3 linked regions of the Rattus norvegicus genome follow. The protein of the gene in region 2 binds, or shares a complex with, the protein of the main gene of each other region. Links are inferred from orthologs where the notes say so. Each region holds a gene or a part of one and is shown on either strand. Other genes may lie near its edges.

Region 1 (5,312 bases), about 66 Mb from region 2:
GATCAGTCGCTGCAGTACCTGGAGGAGAAGGGCAGGGATGGGCGTGGCGTTTCTCGTGGGCTCTGGTGAGATCTGAGCCTGGAAGGAACTAGGCTCAATTCCCACCTTGTGCTATGAATGACATTTATACTGGGTGAGGAGGACTCGGGGTGTTAAGGAATGGCAGGAAAAGGAACCGGTCACTCCAGGGAAGACCCAGGCAGAGGTGCACTGTATTCTAGGGGACCCCAGTGACCCCAGTTCACTTACCTTTGGCGAGGACACTTTGACGAAGACGATGATGGGGGCCAGTGAGGTCTTGGCTAGCTGTGCTGGGTGGTTGATGGTGTCAGCATCCAACACCACTAGCTGCAGGGATTTGGCCAGCTCGAATATGCGCTCAATCTCACTCTGCACCTCAGCTGAGGAAGGGGAGCAGCTCACCAGGGGCTCTGGCCACTGCTAACTGCCAGGGCTTCCAGAGCTGCTACACGGCGGCGAATGGAACGGACCAGCAAGCCTGGGCGGGCAGTGGACTGGGCAAGGGAGGAGGGCAGCACTTGGGACAGGTGGTGGGGCGTGGGCAAGACCACAAGGAGTTCAAGGTTTTCACTAGCATCAAGCGGGCAGAGAGCCAGGGACAAAGGACTCCTCACCAATGCTGGAGCGGGCAGAAGAGCGCTCGATGATGGTCCTCTTGCCAGGATTGTTGAGCACAGAGCGCTTGGCCAGTGAGAGGTCAGCCGTGACGCGGGTGATGGAGATCCTGGGTGTGAGGAACACACACACACACACACACACACACGCCATCTAAGTCACGGACTCCCCACACCAGCTCTCTAATTCTCCTTGAGAGGAGACCAGCTCTGGGCATGCATGCATGCGGGGGGGAATTATTTTCCTCCCGATTCTCACTCCCCTCCAGGACGGCTTACCTGCCATCAAACCTGTGTTTAAGGAAGTCGAAGAGAGCCTTCTGCATCATGTCTGTGACCTGGAGGGGAAGATGTGGTGCTGACAGAGGGCTCCAGCAAGGGGACAGTGTCCCAAAGTAAGTTTGCACCCTGCACAGACATTTCCCACGGTGGCAGCTCTGGTGGGGGTAACTCTGGGCTTGGGAGATTCCTTACCTCATAACCTTTCAGAGAGGGTCCCACCAGCACCACAGGCCGCATGGAGGGCACCACATCATACGGGGGGACATGTTCCGCCTGCAGAATGGCCAGGAGGTCAGACAAAATCTTGGTCTCGGTCAGTGCCCACTTTAGGCCTGACTGCTCTGGGGGCAGAGTGGAGAGTTCTGGGCACCCTCCCTCTGTTCTGTTGATGTCAGCAGTGGCTGACCAGGAGGGTCCCCAGAGCCAAAATCCATGACCCCCCCGGCCCAGGTCCCTTTCTGACTCACCTGCTTTTGCTTCTGCTTGGCTTTTTGGAAAAGGAAATAAAAGATTAAAGTTGGTGGAGGGAAAAGGCCCTGTGGAGCTTGGGCGTCCCTTCCCCAGGGGAGGTCAGGGTTCCCCGGCTGCTCCGATCCCTCCCGCTCCGATATCGTTCACAGGAAGGACCCCCTTGTTTGCCTACCCAAGGTGGGTAAGCTGAGGGGAGGAGGCTACCTAGAGATGGAGGAGGGGAACGTCGGTTGCCAATGTCACTCAGGCTGGAAGGGTTCCCGGATCTCCTGACAGAAAGGGGACAGTAAAAATGTCTATACAGTTCTCTATGTTAAAGTTTTACAAATTAGTAACTACGTTTATGACAGCTGGGCATCTACGGTGTGTGTGTGTGTGTGTAGTTGTGTGTGTGTGTGTAGTTGTGTGTGTGTAGTTGTGTGTGTGTGTAGTTGTGCGTGTCTGTGTGTGTAATTGTGTGGTGTAAATGTGTAGCTGCGTTCTGTGGGTGCAGTATTACATGTTCGGGGGAGTGTGTATTGAATCTCAGCACTGTTCTCACCTGGCCTTCTGTTCCTGTTTGAGCCGGATGCTCTCCAGGCGTTGGGGGCTGGGGATGAAGGCAATATCGCCACCTTCTTTCACTAGCCTCCCGATCCACCAGTCATTGCTGTACTTCTGGGAGGGAATAAGAAGAGGGAAGAGCAGTGAGAGATGCTCCTCAGGGAGGACTCTGGGACGCTGGCACAAGGAAAGCAGAGGGAGGGCCAAGGAACGTGTAATGGTGTCATAGAACAAGACAGCCAGGTTCGAGCCGCAGGCCGTTGCGCTTCAGGGTGTGGAATCCCGGATGTCACCACAAGACCACTGGTTGCTTAGTTACTCTACCCTCCCAGACAGAACTCAGGACCAAGCCAGGTCTGAGAATGGTGGGAACCGAGGGATCAGGCCCCGTGTAAGGGGCATACAGGCATGCACGCAGAGAAGCTGGCTTGTTTTAGATATAGAACTAAAGAGGCACTGGAGGCCGTGACAGCAAACAGAAGAATTAAGTGTTAGAGTAGGCTTCCGGGGAGAGTAAGGTTCATTACCTCTTTAATGTGCAGAAAATCTTTGGCCTCGAAGTTGACTCCAGAGCCCTGGACTGGGCATTCCTCATCCAGAACTCCACAGTAGCTGACATTGGTCCTCACAGCAAATGCCACAGGTTTGTGCTGGGGAATTTGATCATGGGGCCGTGAGAGAGAGTCACCTCACAGTACCTCAGGGGGAGGCAGAGGCCCAGACAAGAAAGCTGCTACAGGCATACACTTTTCCACAGGTGACTTACACCCTGACATGCCCCTGGGGACCTAAGATTCTGCACAGATTCGTGCCCAGCCTAGCCTCCCACCAGCACACACACACACACACACACACACACACACACACACACACACACACACACACACCTTGGCTCTTTCCAGCTGCTGCTGAGCCTGACTCTCCACTTCTCGCCGGGCACTCTCCCGGTCCTCCTCCAGGGAAACGTCTGAGTCCAGAGAGGGGCGGCTGGTGTAGGAGTCGGCTGAACCCTGGACGGGAGAATCTGTGTAAAAGGGACCATACGGGCCTCCTCCTAGCCCTGATGCAGCTTCTCCATCTTCTAGGGGATGATTTGACCCCCTAAGCTGCTTCCTGTGTGTCTCCTGGTGTCTCTAAGGCTACAGGGAAGCCGCCCAATCTGTATGTGCAAAGTTCAGGGCCTTCTACCCCGCACCTGGATTTCTGAATGAAATCTTTACCTTTTTCTCTCCCTTCTCCCCTGTACTAAATATCAAAATACTAAAGACAATGTATTCGAGATGGTGTTAAATCCAGGGGACCGTCTCTTATCTCCATGTTAGCCTGAAGTAGCCGGGACATTATCCCTTTAAGATGACTGGAAAGGGGCTGGAGAGATGACTCAGTGGTTGAGAGCACTGACTGCTCTTCCAGAGGTCCTGAGTTCAAATCCCAGCAACCACACGGTGGCTCACGACCATCTGGAATGAGATCTGAAGACAGCTAGAGTGTACAATAAATATTACAATAAACAAATCTTTAGAAACAAACAGCTTTAAATTAAAAAAAAAAGATGACTAGAGTACACCTAGCTAAGAGATGCCTGGGGTTGGGGATTTGGCTCAGCGGTAGAGCACTTGCCTAGGAAGCGCAAGGTCCTGGGTTCGATCCCCAGCCCTGGGGCGGGGGGGGGGGGGAGATGCCAGCTGCACACCAGCGCTTGGGGGGGTCAATTTAGTAGCTAAGAGACTTACACCTTCTGGGCTGCATGAGACCAACCCCCTCACCCTCAAGACCAGGATGGTATGAAGGCATTTGCTGTTCAAACATGACCTGAGGTAAATCCAGGGGACCAACAGAAGTAGAGAAGCCATCTCTGAAAATACACAGTAAGCTAAAACATACACACAGAGCAGCATGTGTGTGTGTGTGTGTGTGTGTGTGTGTGTGTCTGAGCTTAACACACTTACACAGACTCTATGCACAGTAAATGAAAACATACAGTGGCATGCATATGTCTGACCTTACACACACACACATGAATCCTGTGGTGGTGGCACCTGGCCTACAGAGTGATTTCCAAGGCAACACAGAGAAACTCTGTCTTAAAAACCAAACCAGGGGTTGGGGATTTGGCTCAGTGGTACAGCACTTGCCTAGCAAGCGCAAGGACCTGGGTTCGGTCCCCAGCTCCGAGAAAAAAAAAAAAAAAAAAAAAACCAAACCAATACACACGAGAGAGGGGGGTGGGGGGACAGAGAGACAGAGAGAGACAGAGGGAGGGGAAGGAGGGAGAGAGGGGGAGAGAGAGAGAGAGACACCTGTCTGTCTCCCAGGTGCTTGTGTACCCCGACAGCTGGCTTCCAACAAGGTTTCTGAAAGCTGTCAAACAGATATGAGTGCTTTGCCTTGCCTTGTGTGTGAAGGCTGAAGACAGGACCAAAGCTACAGACTCCTTGGCTCCCCCCACTTTCTTTCCTTCTCAGTCCTGTGGGGACTGGACAGGTGTGAGTAATACAGACAGGTACACCTGGCCTGTATCTCTCTATCCTGGGCCCAAGGGACAGCAGGGCCTGGAGGGAGACTGTACCAGGCAACCCAGATGACATACAGGACCTCGGGGAAGGGATAGACATTGAGTCCTGCCCTTAGTAGGGTCCTGGGGCAAGAAGCCTACATTTGGAGAGTTACAGAGTTCACCTTCTCCGAAAGGAGGACGGGCCAGATGAATAGGGGAAGCTCAACTTTTGAGACAAGCGGCTGAAAGTTAAGAAATGAAACCTTTTCCGACTCCGTGTCTCCTATGTGCAGGAGCCTGGAGGAATTCTTCCCAGTATTCCAAGATGTCAGCACCACAGAAAAAAAGCTTACAGGCTAGGTAAAAGGATGTGCGTAAGGAAAGAGGTTTCAGGATGTTGAGGCTGAAGAAACAGTCTCTTAAAGCCACAGGCTATGACTACCTACCCACAAGCAGCAGAAGCCAGACTCCTCTTTGGAAAAGGCAAACTCACACCCCGCTGTCAACCAGGCCTGGGGCCCAGCGCTGCGTGTGCAGGGCGAAGGCAGGCCAGGTTGGCTCAGGCAGCCCTGGAATCTGTTCTAAAGACTGTGTCTATTGTAAACCAAATGGCTTGAGGCAGCCCCAGAACTGGGGAGGGAGGGGGAGTCTTTTGTTTTGCAGAAGTAGAGGCTATCTGCTGCCCGCCCCCCATCTCTCCAGCCACAGGAAAACAAGGCTAAGGCCCAGAAAAAACCTGGACAAGGGGTGAGGGACCTCACACCCAGGACGTAAGTGCTAAATGTGGGGTGTGGCTGGCTGAAGGACTAAGAGACCAGCAGGTGAAAAGGGCCAGAGGGAGGCCGGATGACCACCCACTGTGCAAGTACCCCCATACTTCCTCT
Region 2 (4,264 bases):
CAAGACAGTGTCCTCCAATCCTGGGACCCCAGCATTTCTCCTTCCAGTTAAGCACAGCCTGTCTCCCGCCCCCCCCCCCTTCTCTCGGGCCCTTTGCTTAATTTCCTATTAACTGCTGATAAATCCAATTAAACCGCCGCTCTAATTAGGGACAGCTGCCGGCTCGGTAAGGCGAGGGAGAGGGGGGGCACCCTGCAAGTATAGGGAGAGAACAGCCGCTCTCCCAGCTCCTCGACACCCCTACATCAACACTGCCGCCCAATGAGCCAGTAAATTGGTTTTGCTTCAGTATTTTTGGGGGGCTCTTGACAGTCGGAGGGGCTCAGATTTGGAATCTCTCAGACCTCTTGATGACTACAGGCAGGTCCTTGTCCTCCCTCCCCTTACTTGTGGTAGGCAGACTCCCAGGAGGAATGGGGCAAAAGAATAGGTTGACTTGTGTGTGTGTGTGTGTGTGTGTGTGTGTGTGTCTGTGTGATCTGCTCCTGTTCCAGTCCAGTCATGATAAAAAGGGGGACTGTGAGTGTTCCTCTAAGGTCCTGGCCCTCACACCGCCAGGCTTCGAGTGTAACGGCCAAGGGCGAAGGGAACAAGGAACTGAACCCAGTTTTGCAGCGAGTTTTGTTGTTCGCTTCCCTACCCCCAGCACACCTCATCTTTCTGTGCAGAAGGGGAGGGGTGCCCGTCCCGGGGCCCTCCTCTTCTCAGCCCAGCTGAGCCTCTGCCCTCCCCCCTCCTCCAGCAGCAGATGGTGCCCGGGCTCCCGCTGCCAACCTTGCTAGGCGGTGCCAACCTCAGTCCTGGCAGACAACCCATAGAGTAGAAGAGGAGCTTCTGGCTGGCCAGGCCGACCCTCCCCCACCCGCTATCAAACCCAAGACCCTCCGCCTGCCCCACTCCAGCGACCACCCCAAGCTGCTTCTCAATGGTCGGTTCCTAGGTCCCCAAACTCCTCATCTCCTTCTGCTCCCTTCCGCACACCTTCCCGCTCCTCACCACCTGCCGCCCTGACCAGGGCCGGAACATTTGCATATTTGCATATGCAAATAATAACATTTGCATACGACGCGCCGCAGGGGGGGTCTCCGCTAGAGCCGGTTAGCTGTCTGGCAGGCGTCCTCTCCGTACCTGTCGGAAAAGGGCTGGGGCAGGGGCCGTGCGGGAGGGGTTAGGCCCCCCGGCCTCGCTTGCTCCATTCCCGGAGGACTAGAGGAAGTGTTGCCATGGAGACGGCACGCACCCCACCCCCCTCCCAGGCCTAGGGTCTCAGGCTTGGTGTCTCCGGTTCTCTCCCCTTAGCCACCCCTCCAGCCCCTCCCCATCCCCCCCTCTCTCCAACTGAGATCTTGCATCGCCCCCTGGTGGCCAAGCTGGGCTCTGAGCCAGGTTCAGAATTCCAAGGGCTAAATGGGCATGATCTAACGGAGGTACCTACTCTGCCATGCTATTCTCTCAACCACGGGGGCACTGCGCTGGAGATTCCAGTCCGGCTTTTTTCCTCACTTCCAGCAGAAGTCTAGCCTAGCGAGTGCAAGTCTGACTACTCACACCAGCCTTGGGGTTCCAAAACCTGACAATTTGGTGGGGCAGCCAGGGGATCTTCTATTTTCCCTCCCTCCACAGGGCTTCTCTTCGTCCGTAAAAAAACAGACTTTTCTAACTTTTGTCAAAACTTTAATAAATTCCAAACATTTGACAGCTCTGCCCCTCCTTATGGAGATGCTTCCCCACCCTCACCCCAAAGCTCTTGAGGTTTGGATGGACCTGAAGTGTGGGCCTTATCGGTGCAGGATGCTCAGCGCACCAGGTATCCGAAGCCCTAGGCAGGGGAGAGGTAGGAGCCAGACCCTCCCCAGAAACGTCATTATGCTCTGGTGGGCCTTTCCGACCCTCCTCGTCCCCCTGCCCCTTCCCTCCCCAGCCCGCACTGGGCCCCGCCCAGAACGGGGCGTGGGTGTCTCCCGCCAGCAGGCGCCAGTACACCTAAATCTCCTCCAGGAAGTCGGTGGGAAACAGCCCCACCTTGCGGCCGGTGTAGACCTTGACGTAGCCACCAGCTTCATCTCCTTTCTGCACTACGATCTAGGGGTTTAAAGGATTGGGGAATAGGAAAAATTAAGGACAGAAAGATGGGCGCAGGGACGCTGGAGAGGGTCGTTTACACTAATGAGTTAGGATCTTCCTCCGAGGTGTGTGGATGGAGAGGTGCGACCAGGCCTGAGATTAGGTTAAGGCACCCGAGATACCTGGTCCTTCTTGAGAGTGATCTGCCCAATCTCGCGGTTTCCCACAAAGGATCTGGTTACACGGTGCACACGTTCTCCAGCCCGGACCCGAATGATGAAGTTTGGAGGGAAGAATCCCACCTTCTCTCCGATTTTCCCCTAGAGAAGGCAGTGGATAGGCTGAAGGTCTTAGGTTCTAGACTACCTGTCTCCCACCTTGGTGGTAGTCATGTCTTACCCGCCACCACTCCTCATTGGAGTCATCAATGACTGTGATCTTCTCCCCTGGTCTGGGATAGAAAGGAGATCTTCCCTGTGATTTACATTCACATGCCAGTGCCTGGCTGTGAGGCAGGGCACCCACCCTTCTGCCCCCCTCTGTTCCCACAGAGAACTCATCTCTTACTCCTCAGTGCTCCCCACACTCCCGCCTCCCTTGAAGGTTCCTCACGGGAAATCCAGATCATCCTTCTCCAGGGCTTTGAACCGATAGAGAGCCACAAAGTAATGAGACTGCTGGAAACCAGGTTGCTTGTTCTGGGGGTACAAGGGGGTGGTGGGTTACCAGACTCTATTTACCTCTTCCAGGAGCGGGCTGTGTTGGTTTGTGTGTCTGTCTCAGTGCGGAGTGTGTGAGTGTGTGTGTGTGGGGGTGATGGGGAGAGCTCTGAATGAAGTCAGACTTTGACTGGGAAGAGACCAGGGTTCTACAGGGAGGAAAGACTTACTTTATCATCAGGTGTTTTCTTCTCAGCCTTCTTGTCCTTTTCTGCATCGTTTCCTTGGGCAGGAAATACGGACAAATTGCTTCTGCCTCCAGGAGAGCATCCATGACTCCTCCCACTTGCGTTGGTGGACCTTTCTCACCCTGGGTTCAGCTGTTCTCTCTCTGCCTGCTAGACAGCAGCTAAACCCCCACTACACCCCATCCCATCTTCTAAGGATGCAGATGACTGACACTCACCATCCTGTGACTTGCCCTCCTCTGGCCTGGCTGACTCTGGCTCCTCCTCCATCATGGCTGCCAGAGGCTAGAGGGGGACACCAGAGTTAGAGACAAGCTGTCTTGGGATCCTGTGTTTCCTTTGCCTCTCCAGGCAGGCCAGAGAGTAGTAGAGCAATAGTACTTCAGCTGTGGGAGAGTGCTTGGAGATCACTCCAACCACCTAGATATCTAGTCCAACCACCAGAAGAATTCAAGAATGTCACCCATACTGTGCCGGGGAGTTTGTTACCTTACAATACAACCCATTCGATTTGAAAAATTCTTTGTCGGGTTGGGGATTTAGCTCAGCGGTAGAGCGCTTGCCTAGCGAGCGCAAGGCCCTGGGTTCGGTCCCCAGCTCCGGGAAAAAAAAAAAAAGAAAAATTCTTTGTCTTGATTTACTGTCTGGCACTTTTTTGTTTGTTTGTTTTTTTAAAGATTTATTTATTTTTATTTATATGAGTACACTGCAGCTGTCTTCAGACACATCAGAAGAGGGCACCAGATCCCATTACAGATGGTTGTGAGCCACCATGTGGTTGCTGGGAATTGAACTCAGGACCTCTGGAAGAGCAGTCAGTGCTCTTAACCGCTGAGCCACCTCTCCAGCCCTGTCTGGAGCTTTAAATGTTGACCCAAACAGGGTCCCTTTAAATATCCAAGGACAGCAGACATATGCCTTCTGGCTTCTCTTCCCCAGTACTCTTTAGTCCCTTCAAATCACCCCTATGACTAGGCTTCAGGCCCTTCATTATACTGTCTGCTTAACAATACTCCAATGTGTAAGAAAAGGCATGTGTGTGTGTGTGGGGGGGGGACAGCACACTTCTCTCTGTTTTCCTCTCCTCTTGGTTGATTTGAGACAGTCTCATCAGCTCAGCTGTCCTCACTTTACCTGGCCAGGACTGATCTTGGATTTCTTTCTTTCTTTTTTTTTTTTCTTTTCTTTTTTTCGGAGCTGGGGACCGAACCCAGGGCCTTGCGCTTGCTAGGCAAGCGCTCTACCATTGAGCTAAATCCCCAACCCCTGATCTTGGATTTCTTATCTCCTGGT
Region 3 (5,312 bases), on a different chromosome or scaffold from region 2:
GGAATTGAACTCAGGACCTCTGGAAGAGCAGTCAGTGCTCTTAACCACTGAACTATCTCACCAGCCCAGTAGGGCATTTTTAAGCACAGCACTTGAAAGGCCAGTCTAGTCTGTATAGTGAGTTCCAAGATAGCCAAAGCTATATAATGAGACCCCGTCTCCAAACAAATAAATAAAGCGAACTTTTCTTTTAAGATTCACTTACTTATTTTATGTATATGAATGCTCTATCTGCATGTACATCTACACACCAGAAGAGGGCGTCAGATCCCATTACAAATGGTTGTGAGCCATGTGGTTGCTGGGAATGGAACTCAGGACCTCTGGAAAAGCGGATAATCCTCTTAACTGCTGAGCCATCTGTCCAGCCCCAATAAAGCAGTCTTTTAAAAGAATTTAGAATTTGGTGGGGCTGGTGGTAGTGTATGCCTTTAATCCCAACTCTTAGGAGGCAGAAGCAGGCAGATCTCTGTGAGTTCAAGGCTAGCCTGGCCTACGGAGTAAGTTCCAGGACAACCAGGGCTACAGAAAAACCTTGTCTCTAAAAAAAAAAAAGGGAACCTAGAATATGACATTTAACCTTGTTAGTACTTCCAGAGCATCAGGTACATTGTTTTGTGTACACTATGCTGTCATGGAAAAGTGGGGATGGGTGCGGTCAGAGGTCGATTGGCCCTGAGACTTCTGGCCGACATCCTCTCCTGGGGTGGCAATGTCCCACCCCTAGACAAATACCCTAGCACATATGTAGGCCAGGAACAGAGGTGCACATCTGGAACCTGAGCACTGGGGTTTCACAGCAGAGACAGGTGGATCCAGGCAGGCCAGTAAGGTCAAGATGGAAAGCTTCAGGGTCAGTAAGGAACAACCGAGGAAGACACCGAACACTGACCTCTGGCCTACATTACAGCATTGGTGGGTGTGTGCACACACACGTGTATACCATAAACACATGCCCATGCGCGCACGCATGTGTGTGTGTGTGTGTGTGTGTGTGTGTGTGTGTGTGTGTGTGTGTAGGTGCAGGGATAGCTGGATTGTAGAAAGTGGGTTTATTGTCCTTGTGGCGTTGGAGAACGGACCCAGGACCTTGTGCCAGCGAGGCAAGCACTCTACATTGAGCTACGTCCCTTGCCCAGGAAGAAGCAAAGTCCATCACTTGTCAAGCGAGGTGGAACTAGCACCAGACCCTTCACATGCTGCGTGAGGAAGAAGAGACCATCACAGCCTACACTTTCTTCACAGGGGAAAGACACAGGCACAGACCTCTGTAAGCAACTCATCCAAAACTTGACAGTCTGCCCAGGCTCTCTCAGGATGGAGGGTGGGGGAGGGGATGGGATAATGCCCACAGGTGATGCCCACAGGTCTTTTAGTCTCACCTTGGCTTTCTCGAGCTGGGCTAAGGCCTGGCGCTCTGCCTCCTTCCTTAAGGCTTCCCGGTCCTCCTCCAGGGACACGTCGGAGTCTGACGGCCGGCTCGTGTAGGACTCTGCTGAGCCCTGAAAGCAGAGAGGACCAGCTGAAGGCCAGCATCACTTCTTCTGACTCCTGGGACGGCATGGAGATGCCACCCATTCTAAAAATCCAAAACCCCATCAGCCCAGCACAATCCCACAAGGCCAAGAAAGGAGGTATTATTAGAACAAAGAGGCCAGGGGTCAAAGTTTGCAAGCCTGTGGGACGAGTGTGACCCTAGGAAAGGTGACAGCAGCCAGCTGGAGGTTAAGGCAGGTCTAATGACAGCTGCTTGGGGCTTGGGAGGGGCGGGAACCTGATAGGGGCACAGCCCGAGGGAGGAGTGCCAGGGGATGACTCTAACTCTCAGCTCCTCCTTCTCTGCCCTGCCCCTGAGTGGCCGAGGAGGCATAGCAGAAACTCAACGCCATCCTTTGCAGGGACTGTAGCCACCTTCTCAGGCCTGAATCCCCACCGCTGCCCATGGCATCTACTGGGATCACAGGGCCACCAAAACTGTTGATCAAGATTCAGGGGAGCAAAACACCCACCTCCCCAACTCCTCTGGCTGGGAATTTGTGAATAGGGCCAAGCTGCCTTATGATTTTCAGGGCAGAGCAGCAGGAGGTGTGAGGGAGAGTGGAAGATAGGTCCCTGCCCTGACACTAGGCTGCTAGATGGCAGAAAGTCCCGTTGTGAAGAGTGAGTGTGACAGGAACCCAAGGCGGACTACAGTCACCGTCCCAGAGTGCCAAGGACTCCGGTAGCAACACATCTATCAGATGAGACACATGGAAGCCATACAGATGTCACGGCACTGCTCACGAATGCGCAGACGTGTGTATATTTCGGGATACAAAAAAGTATGCTCGAGAATGTGGCTTCCAGAGTGTGTGCTGGGTGTGAACAATTGAGACACTAAGGGCGTCCCAGAGGTCTGTGTCCCTGAGTGTGGGAGACAAAGGGTGGCGGAGGACAGGATGCATGGATTTGGTGTGACTTCGGGAGGGGGTGGGCGGCAGACAAGTCTAGGAGGGAATACAGAGAAGACATGGAGTTACAGGTATGTGAGGGATTTCTCCTGAGGGCAGGAAAAAGTCACTTGGCCGGGATTGTCCATTGGTTTGTATTGGGAGAGTGGAGGCGAAGACCTACCTCTCCCTAAGTCATCAGGTGAGACAAGCATTACGTTCCCAGGGAAAATCCTAGAATGGGAGTTCACTTGAGGAAGGGTAGGCTAGACATTTGGGTGACTAATTAAACCTGGAGAGACCCAGAACCAGGGGGAGAAGCAAAAGACCCCCATTCTCCCTTGTTACACAGTCCCCCAAAACAAGAATACAGATGCCAGACAGGTGCCCAGAGACAAGTAGAGATGGACAGAGAGGCAGCCACTGACCCCAGCAGACTCCCATATGCATATGCATACACACACACAGACACACACACACACACACAGACACACACACACACAGACACACACACACACACACACACACACACACACACACACACACACACAGCCAGAAATGGGAGACAGGCAGAGTAAAGGAGCAAAGAGATGGGCTGCAGAAAGGCCCTCGACAGCAGTTTGAGGGATTCTTCCACCCACCCACCACCTGCCCCATGCCCAGCTCACCACTACCAGGGTCCGGCTGGGCACCTCCATCCCGGCGCCCTCAGTGCCCAGCCCTGCCGGCCTAGGGGTGGCCCACACAGCCCGTTCCCCCAGGAGCTCAGGTTACAAGCAGAATTGCTACATGTGCAAACTGCTAGGGTATATTTAGCTCAGAGATGTGGCAAGGTCTGCCCCCCACTCCTGCCACCTACTGGGAGTAGGACTTGGGAAGCTAAGAGAAGAAGAATGGGAGTCTGTGGGGGTCTAACCCCTTGGCTGGCAAGGGGAAGCTGAAGGCTCTTCCTGTCTTAACAACAAAAGCATGGTGTCACTGTTTCTAGACCTGGCACTGGCCAGTTCTGGAACAGGAGGGCTAAAGGAATGATTACTACGGAAAGAACCTTGGATCTGTTTGTGTATTTTAGACACACTCAGATCAAAACCTCCCTTGGGTCTCTGGAGCTAGGCCCGAGCTCACACATGAAAACCCAGAGGCAGAGGAACTCAAAATAAAGTACTCAGTTCAGTCAGCGATGGGTCTGCCCGATCTGCCTGCTACTACTACTACTTCTTTGTGGACCCAGTGGGGCTCTTACCCCAGGGGGCTCCTCCTACCAAGTGTCCTCTGCCCTCTCACCACACGCCTTTCCTTGTCTGATCCCGAGCCCCCCTTGCCTTTTCCGGGTACCAGGCTTTGTTGAGATGCTCAGTCGTCATAGCAACCACATGCCTCCTCACTGCCTCTCCCCAGCCTAAGATGGCCTGGGGTTGAGGGAAGAGAGGAAAGTGGCAGTTTTCCCAGCTCAGCATGAGGGCCCAGAGAACTACTGTCAACACCAACTCCAGCTAGGGATACAGGCTACATCCCTGTAAAATAAAACACCCCTTATCCCACACGTTGCTCTCTCTCTCTCTGCATATTTACAAGAGTGACGTTTGGAGTGGAGAGAGTATGTTCCTGACCCATTCCTGACTAGAGCCCGGTATCTCAGCTTATTTCCATGCACCTGCCTCAGCCCCACCCCACCACAGATTCTGGGGGAGGACATGGAAGCACACAGCCGGCAGGGGGAGTGGGTGACAGCCCGAAGCAAGCCAGGAGGAGGCAGGCCAGGCTGTCCCTGAATGAGATGACGCAGGCAGGCAGGCAGGCAGGCAGCAGGGGCTGGGAGCTGGTGCTGGAGGGGCGGAAGCAGTGGGTGCAGAGAGGTCACGGGGCGTCGGGTGTGGTAGTTCCAGGCAGGTGACAAGTGACGTGAGAAAAGGTGCCCCGCGAGAACGTCGAAAGGCAGTCTGCACCAGTCAGCTGCATCTCCCAAGCCCTCTTCCCTGTTACCTGACGGACAAAGCTGTTGGATGTGGTATCTGAGGAGGTGCTCCCATCTGACCTTTTGAACCGCCCTTTCCTCTTGCTGTATTTGCCCTGGAGAGGTGGGGAAGGAACAAGAGTGGAATCAGAAAGACGCCTGCCTTCCCAGTCCACCTCCTGCCGGGGCTGGGGCTGTATACGGTCAGCCTAGCTGGGGACTCTCCGCTCTGCCCCACCCCCACTTCAGCTTCTCCTCCTAGAGGTAACCAGTCTGAAAGAAAAGAGGGTCTTCCACCTCACGGACAGTGCCCAGACAACAGCCACCATGAGGAACCGTGCAAGAGAGCCTGAGATGCACACCCAGGAATCCCCGAATCAAGTGGAAGGCTGGGAAGCAGAAAGCCCGAGGAATAGAAGGCTCGTTAGGCAGCAAAGCTAATTAAGATGCTGGGCAGGGCTGCGGCAGCCTCGGGGGGAAGGGAGAGGCTGCCTGCAGCGCTGGGGGGCAGAGGAAGAGAGGGGGACGTCCTCTCCCCTGCATCTGGAGCTGAGGGGGCAGAGTGTGCTATGCCCCCAGAGAGAGGAGAAAAGGCAACCCAGGGCCAGGCTTGGTTTCTCCCGAGCCCAGAGTGGGGAGGGAAAGGCATTCTGCTCTTGAAGACCCAAAGTCATGTTTCTGAGGAAGGAAAAGAGGGAGTCTCTGAGAAGTAAACATCCAACCTGTGGCCTGGTGCCTGGGGAGATTGTTCAGCTTCCCACTCTCACCTCCACCCTAGCAGAACTTTCTCTCAACCTCCATCCTGGCAATCAGTTTTTATATTCCTCCCAAAGGCAGGATCCACTCTACTCCCACGCCAGCTGCTACTGCCCATGCCCCATCCCCATGGTACTAACCCTGCTCCATCAATCTCAAAGGCCCTTAGGCCC

The links. Proteins that work in one complex are often made in the same cells at the same time.
Region 1: Stac3 (region 2) and Cacnb3 share a complex: the UniProt entries of both Homo sapiens proteins name them as parts of the calcium channel complex. The link is inferred for Rattus norvegicus from reciprocal best matches to the Homo sapiens genes STAC3 and CACNB3.
Region 3: Stac3 (region 2) and Cacnb1 share a complex: the UniProt entries of both Homo sapiens proteins name them as parts of the calcium channel complex. The link is inferred for Rattus norvegicus from reciprocal best matches to the Homo sapiens genes STAC3 and CACNB1.

The regions. Positions count from the first base shown.
Region 1 is NC_086025.1:131,668,557-131,673,868, reverse strand, and holds part of Cacnb3 (voltage-dependent L-type calcium channel subunit beta-3), read right to left. Parts: intron 2,942-5,312; coding exon 2,819-2,941; intron 2,582-2,818; coding exon 2,459-2,581; intron 2,046-2,458; coding exon 1,930-2,045; intron 1,658-1,929; coding exon 1,593-1,657; intron 1,405-1,592; coding exon 1,385-1,404; intron 1,191-1,384; coding exon 1,110-1,190; intron 974-1,109; coding exon 915-973; intron 746-914; coding exon 636-745; intron 516-635; coding exon of another isoform or gene 442-515; exon of another isoform or gene 402-441; coding exon 250-401; intron 19-249; coding exon 1-18. UniProt on the Homo sapiens protein: Regulatory subunit of the voltage-gated calcium channel that gives rise to L-type calcium currents. Increases CACNA1B peak calcium current and shifts the voltage dependencies of channel activation and inactivation.
Region 2 is NC_086025.1:65,233,273-65,237,536, reverse strand, and holds the end of Stac3 (SH3 and cysteine-rich domain-containing protein 3), read right to left. Parts: intron 3,257-4,264; coding exon 3,190-3,256; intron 3,007-3,189; coding exon 2,954-3,006; intron 2,763-2,953; coding exon 2,677-2,762; intron 2,516-2,676; coding exon 2,464-2,515; intron 2,385-2,463; coding exon 2,247-2,384; intron 2,083-2,246; coding exon 1,984-2,082; 3' UTR 1,820-1,983; coding exon of another isoform or gene 1,796-1,819; 3' UTR 1,659-1,795; downstream 1-1,658. UniProt on the Homo sapiens protein: Required for normal excitation-contraction coupling in skeletal muscle and for normal muscle contraction in response to membrane depolarization. Required for normal Ca(2+) release from the sarcplasmic reticulum, which ultimately leads to muscle contraction.
Region 3 is NC_086028.1:83,507,829-83,513,140, forward strand, and holds part of Cacnb1 (voltage-dependent L-type calcium channel subunit beta-1), read right to left. Parts: intron 4,500-5,312; coding exon 4,413-4,499; intron 3,251-4,412; exon of another isoform or gene 3,128-3,250; coding exon of another isoform or gene 3,098-3,127; intron 1,503-3,097; coding exon 1,383-1,502; intron 1-1,382. UniProt on the Homo sapiens protein: Regulatory subunit of L-type calcium channels. Regulates the activity of L-type calcium channels that contain CACNA1A as pore-forming subunit.